2 linked regions of the Coturnix japonica genome follow. The protein of the gene in region 1 binds, or shares a complex with, the protein of each later gene. Links are inferred from orthologs where the notes say so. Each region holds a gene or a part of one and is shown in the gene's direction. Other genes may lie near its edges.

Evidence for each region. Proteins that work in one complex are often made in the same cells at the same time.
Region 2: CDHR2 (region 1) and ANKS4B share a complex: the UniProt entries of both Homo sapiens proteins name them as parts of the IMAC/intermicrovillar adhesion complex. The link is inferred for Coturnix japonica from reciprocal best matches to the Homo sapiens genes CDHR2 and ANKS4B.

The regions. Positions count from the first base shown.
Region 1 is NC_029528.1:12,170,789-12,174,959, reverse strand, and holds the start of CDHR2 (cadherin-related family member 2), read left to right. Parts: upstream 1-1,367; 5' UTR 1,368-1,390; coding exon 1,391-1,593; intron 1,594-2,186; exon of another isoform or gene 2,187-2,201; coding exon of another isoform or gene 2,202-2,363; intron 2,364-2,644; coding exon 2,645-2,720; intron 2,721-3,112; coding exon 3,113-3,170; intron 3,171-3,363; coding exon 3,364-3,429; intron 3,430-3,508; coding exon 3,509-3,648; intron 3,649-3,753; coding exon 3,754-3,807; intron 3,808-3,942; coding exon 3,943-4,032; intron 4,033-4,171. UniProt on the Homo sapiens protein: Intermicrovillar adhesion molecule that forms, via its extracellular domain, calcium-dependent heterophilic complexes with CDHR5 on adjacent microvilli. Thereby, controls the packing of microvilli at the apical membrane of epithelial cells.
Region 2 is NC_029529.1:12,774,111-12,778,161, forward strand, and holds the start of ANKS4B (ankyrin repeat and SAM domain-containing protein 4B), read left to right. Parts: upstream 1-1,246; 5' UTR 1,247-2,161; coding exon 2,162-2,325; intron 2,326-2,365; exon of another isoform or gene 2,366-2,969; coding exon of another isoform or gene 2,970-3,007; intron 3,008-4,051. UniProt on the Homo sapiens protein: As part of the intermicrovillar adhesion complex/IMAC plays a role in epithelial brush border differentiation, controlling microvilli organization and length. Plays a role in assembly of the complex.

The DNA.
Region 1 (4,171 bases):
TTCCCCTCGCAGAGCCCCAGTCCCAGGCAGGCAGACACAAACACACAGCGAGCAGCTTCCACTGTGCAAATCAATGGGGATTTGCAAAGTCTCCTCTCTCAGCTCTTTGTTCTGCACTCGCCGAGCGGAGCCGTGCAGCACATCAGGTCGGGGCGGTGGGAACATCCCTCCCAGCAGCCAGATGGGGCCGTGCTGCTCCCTGCAGCGAGGGGACAACCAGCGGGAGCCCCATAAACACGGCCCCGACCCCAAAGGCAACGCAGCCTTGTGTGCAGCACCGCTCCTCCTGCAGCACGGCCAAGTGGGACGAGGCCCAGCTCGGGCAGACAAAAAAGCAGCGGCTGCTCTCAGCTCCTGCAAGAAGCGGAACAAACGGAGCAGCGGTACCGAGCGCTCCGCTCACCATTTATTTCCTCCCCTTCCTGCCCACCCCCATCGCAGTGCGGGGCCTCAGTCGGGCCGTGCCGGGCTCCACGAGCCGAGCACAGCGGGGATGGACGGGCAGCACCGGGCAGCCACCCCGCACACCGGGGTTAAGGACAACGTCCCGCTGCCCCTTATCCGAGCACCGGGACGTGCCGGGCCGCGGTTCCCCGTGTCCTAATGTTGGTACGGAGCCGCTCCCGCTGCCTTCAAAGCAGCACCCAAAGGTGCCAACAAAGGCCCGGTGCTGCGCTCCGCATTCGCCGTATTTTGAGCCGGCCTTATTATTTCCACTGCACCGTGCATTATTACCCGCCATGCAGCGCACTGACATCAGGCTCAGCCCGATCCCTCACGGCCGCTCCTCCTCCTCCTCCTCCTGCTGCTGCTGCCGGGGCTCCGGCCCCAGCCCACGCACAGCTCCGGGATGCGGGAGCCGCGCACCGCACACCGTGCAGCCCCGGGCCGAGCCGCGTTGGCTCCGGGTGCCGGCACAGGGAGCGAGGCCGCTCGGTGCTGCGGTCGCCCCGCTCGGTGCCGTCCCGCTGCGGCCTCCATACGGCCCGGCCCGCATCGCACCGCTGGGCCCTGCGGGACGGAGCTGCCGTACCCGCAGCACAGCGCACCCACCCCGCGGCACAGCCGCCATGGCCGCCCCGCTCCGTCCCCGCTCACGTCCCGCCGCCCGGTGCTCCCCGAGCACGGAGCCCGGCCCGGCCCACACGGCGACAGCCCCGAGTGCGGCCCGCGCTCACACCTCACCGGGCCCCGCCGGAGCGCCCTCCCGGTGCCGGTCCCGGTGCCGCTCCCCCCGTCGCACCGCCTGGGCCCTGCCCCGGCTCCGCCGCCCCCCCCGCCGGTTCCGGTGCCCGGCACCGCGCCCCACAACCTACCGGAGGCGCCGCCCCCGCCGCTCTCGGGCCGCTCGGTTCGTGCCCCGGCCGCGCTCCGGGCTCAGCCCGCTCGCATGGCGCGGCGGCCGGGCCCGCCGGGCTCGGTGTCCGTCCCGGTGCCGCTCGCGCTCCGGCCTCGGCCCCGCCTCACGGCGCCCCCTGCGATCCCGAGCCGATGGAACCGGCCGCCCCCTGCGCCGCCACCAGGTGGGAGCGTCCAACCCGGCCCCAGCGCCGTAATGAGCCTAAAAGAGCCGCAACTAAAACGCGCTGCGGGGTGAGAGCCGTAATGATCCGAGAGGATGCGCACTACAGGGACAGGGGGAAGGGCGGGGTGGGAATGTGGGTAGGGATGGAGATGGGAACAGAGATGGGAACGGAACGGAGACAGGGATGGGAAAAGGGATAGGGATAGAAACGGGAACAGGGCTGGGTTCAGGGATGGGGACAGGGATGGAGCTGGGAATAGGATGTGGATCTGGGTAGGGATGGGGATGGAGGCGCTGGGGACATCCCAGGCCAACCCTTAGAAGGTTTGGGGGTGTCCTGGGACAGTCCAGGAGGGTTTGCAGTGGGCTGCCTTGCACCAGGCCTGAGGGACTCGAGGAACGAGGGCACAGTGACCCTTCAGCAGTAGGGGCTGTCCTGGACCAGCCCTCAAGAGTTTCACCCCAGTCCTGGCCCTTTATGGGGTGCAGTGGGGCCTTAGAGCAGGCTGGGTGTCCTGGCTGGGTGTCCTGGGGTGTGCAGAGCTGTGCGGGCTCCTGGCCCCCTGAGATCCTCCCCAGTGTATAAGAAGGAAGAGGGCCAGGCCCGAGGTCCTGCAGAGCCAGTACAGGCTGTGTCTGTGCCTCCCCCCACTCTCACATCCCAGCCTTCTTCTGCATGAGCAGAGCCACACAATCCACCCTTGTCCCCAGCAGGGCTGAAGTAGGTCAGGGAGGCAGAGCTGAGCCCTCTAGGCCCCCCCAGGGAGGGAACCTCACAGCGGGGGATGCACGAGGCCCCAGCGGCAGCTCCACTGGGTCGGTGCCCACCTGTGTCCTGGTGAGACCTCCCTGCTCCAGCCCAGGGGATGCCAGGCAGTTCCTCAGCCCCTCCCCAGTGCCCTGGGTTTGGGGTCCCCCTGCAGCCCTACAGGCAGAGTCCCCAGGGTGCGGGTTGGGGTGGATGAGCCACGGGGATGGTCCCCAGCACAGGGGGCTGGAGCTGGGGAGCAGTTGCTGGGCTGGGCCAGAGCTGGGTGATGAGCAGCAGGGAGGAGAATGGAGAAAGCAGTTTCTCACCCCTTAATTGCAGTTAATCATTGATGAACTTGCTTACTTCAGGAGTCAAAGTTCTGCAGTGCTGCCAGGGTGCAAGCACGGCATAGCTGCCGGCAGCATCCCGGCTAGGTGCCTGCAGGTAAGGGATCCCAGCACGACCCCCCATGGGCACTGCAGTCTGGGTTTGGGGTGGGGGAATGTCTGTTGGAGGGGGTGAGCTGTGGGGGCTGCCCATAGGCGGTGATGTAAGAGAGGGGGATGTTGTGGGGTGTCACAGCTCTCTCTGGGGCTTCCATGTGGGGCTTGGAGTGATCTGGAGTGACTCAGCCTTCAGCTGTGCTCAGGAGCTGGTCTTGGGGTCCCCAGATACTCCTGAGGTCACCAGAACCTACAGACCAGCTCCATCCCCCCACTGTATCCCCATGGGATGGGACCTGTTCCCTTGGGCAGCTCAGTCCCATCCCATGCTCTTCCAGTGGGCATGGTGGGGGGGCTCGGAACATGCCCCAGTTTCTCTTCTGTGTTCCACAGGCTTTGGGCAGGATGGCATGGCACCCGCTGCTGCTGCTCCCCTTCCTCCTGGCAGCAGGTGAGGACTTTGCTTGGTGCAGGCCTGGGTTGCAGGGAAGCATCAGAGACGCTTCCAGCTCCATCCCATTTCCCTGGGGGCATCCATGACCCCCAAAAGTGGCACTGTGGGCTGGGCAGGGGAGGGTGAGGAGTGGGAGTTGTGGGGTGAGGAGGGGGAGATCCCCTGCACTCAGCTCATGTTCTCCCTGCAGCTTCAGGAAACACAGCTCCCATCTTCAACATGACCCTCGTGTACGTGCCTGAGGACCTGCCGATAGGTGAGGGGCGGCTGCGGGGGGGCTGCTGGGATGGGGGGAGAGCCTGGGGATGACGATGCCTTTCTCCCCTTGTCCCCAGGCGCGATTGCTTTCAGTCTGTCAGCCTATGACTTAGATGGGGACCCAATCACCTACGACATCACTGGGGAAGATTCCTTCTACTTTAAAGTTGATGCACAGACAGGTGTGGTGACACTGAAAAACCTGCTGGACCGTGAGGTGAGAGCAGGGACTGGGAGATGGGGCCATGGGGATGAATGGCAGAGCCCTCGGACTGAGGCTGAGCTCTGCCTGCCCTGACTGAGCTCTACTTTCCCTCCCCAGTCCAAGGCCAAGCTCGACATCTTTGTCATATTGTCTGACGGGATCAATACAGCAGTGAGTAGTGGGAACAGGGATCACAGTGGGGTCTCCGCAGGGTCTCAGTAATGCTGACTGTGATGCTCAGTGGGGCTTTGCCCAGGGGGGCAGTGCTGGCCGGCTCCTTTTCCCTTATCCAAGCTCTCCCCACAGGTCACCAGCCGCCTGACCATCATCGTGGATGACCGTAACGACAACGCACCCATCTTCCAATACCTGCCCTATGAAACCTCTGTCCTCGAGGTACCTTCCTGGGACCTGTTAGCCCCATGGGAGGGTAATTCCCATGGCATGGGTGTGCCTGGTGACAACAGGAAATAATAATGTGTGGTGACAGCATGAAGTGACGCTGCGCCTGGGCGTGTGGTTGTGGTGTTTGGTG
Region 2 (4,051 bases), on another chromosome or scaffold:
CACCTCTACCCTCACGTTTGTTGCTCTGCAGTTTGCAGTGAGCAGATGTTGGCCTGGAGATCCATCGTGCAGGGCAGACACGGCAGCTTCTCTGCAGGGTGAGGAGGCAGGTGGGGCCCTGAGCTGCCTGAGCCACCAACGCGCTGCTGCGGCTGATGTGTGACTGGTGGTGCCACCATTGGGATTGTCCTGGAGGAAACAGTGATAACCAGAGACAGCAACATCCAAAGACAGAATGAGAGCTGCTGGCTCCGTCAGCCCCAGCTCACAGCAGCACACACCGTTAGTGCAGCATTTCTCCTCAGCCTGGTAGCACATCGCCATTGCATTGAACGGTTCTCAGTCCTTTTCAGACCCCAGTAAAAAGGTTCATTTGAACTGCTCAGGGCTTTGAGCATCGCTCTCAAAAGAAACCTCTGCATCCAGGCCAGGAAACGTCACTTGCTGCTGAATCATGTGAATCTTGTATCACATTTTAAGTCGAGGTTTTCAGAAGGAACAGGAATTAACAAAGAGGAGTTTGGGAATAGATGGAGATTTTGTTTGGTCTTTCCTCCTTTCTTCTTTGTTTTTGTGATGCCCATTTGGGGACATTCAGGATGAAAAAGCGAGCGAGGTCCCAGAGCTGCTCTCCAGCTGAAGGGGGTTTTGCTTTGCCCCCAATTAAAACCTGGAACAACAGCATCCCACTTAGCACCGTATGAAAGCTTCCTTCTGAAGGAAACCTTTTGAGATGTTGGAGGAGAACCATCACTGAGATCAACACTTTGTGCGTTGAACTAATTAACGGGGTGTTCATGAAGGTGTGGGAACGAGCTGCTCCTGCAGCAGGGGCCATTCCCAGGAGAAGCCCCGGAGGCGGCTGCTGTGCCCACCTGGTGCCGGGGGCTGCAGTCGGGATGTGTGGGGACGCACAGGGGCGGCCCAGCGTCCCACTGCGGGTCGGTGTGATCCCGGGATGGGGCAGCACAGGACGCAGCCCAGCAGAGCATCACACCGAGGTGGCAGCAGCTGTGAGTGCGCCCAGGAGAGCAGGGAGCCCATGGCACCGTGTGAGCTCGTGTTGGCTCCCAGCATTCCCAGATTCCTTCTCAGCTGCCGACCTGCTGAGTGCGTTTCTTCAGTAAAACTTCTGAACATAAGAAAACAGATTTGGGAATGGCAGAATCATAGAATCACAGAATGGTTTGGGCTGGAAGGGACCTTTCAGACCATTCCAACCCCTGCTATGGGCAGGGACCCCTCCCACAGCCCAGTTGCTCACAGCCCCATCCAGCCTGGACTGAGTGTTGCTGGGGAGGAGCATCCACAGCCTCACAACAACCTGCTCCAGTGTCACCACACTCAGTAAAGAATTCCTCCCCAATGTTTAGTCTAAACTGCCATCTAACAGTTTAAAGCCATTTCCCCTTGTCTTCTCACTACCTGCCCTTATAAAGTCTCTCCCCAGTTTTCCTGTAGGCCCTTCAGGTCCTGGCAGGGCTGTAAGGTTCCCTCAGAGCCTTCTGTTCTCCAGGCTGCACAGCCCAGCTCTCAGCCCATTCTCATAGTGGGGCTGCTCCATCCTCTGATCATCTCCATGGCCTGCAGGGCCATCCAGATCCGTTATCCCCTTACCACAAATACTGCCCACATCCCCCAGCGCTGCATCATCTCTGTGGATCCTGGATCCCCCCAGGGATGGTGACTCCCCCCCGTCAGGCCGTTCCAATGCATCACAGCTCTTTTGGAGAAGTTTTTCCAAGCACCCAGCGCTGTGCTCCGGTTCCACAAGTTTTCCCTCACAGGGGTGACCCACCGTCCCGCTGCCATCCGTGGGAACAGCGTCTAAACGGGGAACTGCGCCTGTTTGGACACGGCCGGGCAGCCCGTCCCACGCGGCACCATCAGAGCGCTCAGCGCTGGAGGAAACCGGCCGCGTTGCTCCGTCTGTGCCGCAGATCGGCCACCAAAAGGACGAAGGACCCGCCGCGTTTCTGCATCGCACCGCGCCGGGAAGCAGCAGCTCCGCGGGCAGAGGCGCGGCCGCCGCTCGGGACGGGCAGCAGGAAGGCACGAGCACCGCCCGCCGAGCGCCGGGAAGGACTTCGCTCCCCTGGGCCGCCCTCCCCGGGGCGATGCCGCAGCTCCGGCCGTGGGCGGGCAGTGCCGACAGCCGAAGATGTCGAGCAGGTACCACCGGGCAGCGGCGGATGGCTACCTGGACCTGCTGAAAGAAGCCACCAAGAAGGACCTGAACTCGCCGGACGAGGACGGGATGACGCCCACTCTGCTGGCCGCGTACCACGGGCGCCTGGAGGCCCTGGAGATCATATGCCGCAGGGGGTGAGTGGAGCAGCCTCCATCCCTCGGGGGCTGCGGCTCCGGCTCCTGGTAACGCTCATTTCTCATCTCCGCCGCCGCAGTGACGCCCCGGGAGCCGCTGGAGCTGCGGCCGCACTCGTGGGCGCTCTGTGAGCTCCGCGGGGCGCTGAGCTCTGCAAACGGCCGAGCAGCCCCTGCTTCCTGAGGCGAATCCTTCGGTTACCGTGGGAGGGAACCACCCTGAAGCGCCACCGAATGGGCCCGTGTCCCCATTTCTGTAGTGCTCCCTCCAGAGCCGATGTTTTATGCCGTGATTCTCTCGCAAGGTTTAGGAGGAGGGAAACAGTGAAGAAAATGTTTGTGCTGGGGTGACATGAAGGTTATGTTGTCCCCGGGTTTGTATTTTTGATCTAAATGGCTTAAGGGAGATTGGGGGGGAAACGTCGGATCAACTGCTTGGATGCATTTAGTTCTCCTTGCCTAGAAATAGGTCTGAAAACCTCACACCCAGCTGGGATTGCCGCAGCTCCGCTGTACGGCTCAGGCGCGGCTGCACAATAAAAGGGGCCTTTGGACTCTATTGCCGTGGTTGCGCCCCCAGGGAAAAAGCAAAACACGCGTGTGATGAAGGAGGAACTGAGAGTCCATAGGGCGCCCGGGGGGGAATGACCGCCCAGGGAACGAATTACAGCCACCTCCAGGGGTGAGTTCAACATTCCCCCCTGCCACGAGAACAACTGAAACGTCCGCACGCGCTCAGAGGATCCGCAGGGGGCACAAAGCCCCGCAGGGGGCACAAAGCCCCGCGGTGCCGCTCGCGTTCCCCCTCGTGCTCCTGCTCCCCCGGCGCGGGGCGGCTCCGGTTCCGCTCATCCCGGTGCTCCGTCCCGCTGCTGCTCGGTGCGTGTTCTGCGGGGGGGGCTGAGCTGTGGGAGCTGCTCGGTCTGCTCTGCTGGCCGCCCCTGCTTTCACGGAGTCACAGAACTGTAGGGGTTCCTCTGAGGTCTTTTCTTTTTGTGTAATGAATTCATCCTTTCCTTGAAGTAAAGGCAGTTTCCCGACAGATGCGGCGCGGACCAGCTCCCTCCCCGCCCGGCCCCGCAGCTCACGCAGCCCCAGGGGCGGTGGGGCAGCACGAGCCCTTTGTCTCCATCGTTCGTCCCCCCGGGCAGCAGCAGCTGCGCTCGGCCGGTCTGTGCTGCACCAGGGCCGCAGTCGTTGAAAATAATCTGGTTTTTATTTTGTTCCTTTTGTTTTCCAATTTCCCAATGAACTTCTGCTTTCCAGACCCCACGAGCAAAAGAACCTTACGTAGAAACAACAGAGCTGACTAAAACCGGGATCTGACCGAGCCCAACCCAGCAGCACTGGAGTCAAAGCTGCGACTGCGCTTTGCATTTACCCTCTGCTGCTCCCAGCCATCACTGTGCGGGCACAACAAGACCCTTCACTGCCACTCGCTGTGGTGTCCCCTGACGTGCAAAGGAGTCAGAAAAGGCCTTGGCAGTGCTCTGCCTGGAGGGCCATGGGGCAGCCAAACCCTGCTCCGGGAGTGCAGGCAGAGAGCTGGGTGTGCTGTGTGCCCCCCGGCCTCGTGCTGCTGCTTGGTGCCACCTGGCAGTGGGCAGCTGGGGGGGGCAGGGAGCGGGCAGGGCTGTGCCAGCAGCCCCACAGCGTGAAGGACGCCCTGCTGCTCCACGGGCAACTGCCCAGGGACAGACAAGTCGGGCAGTGAGCGGTGATCAGG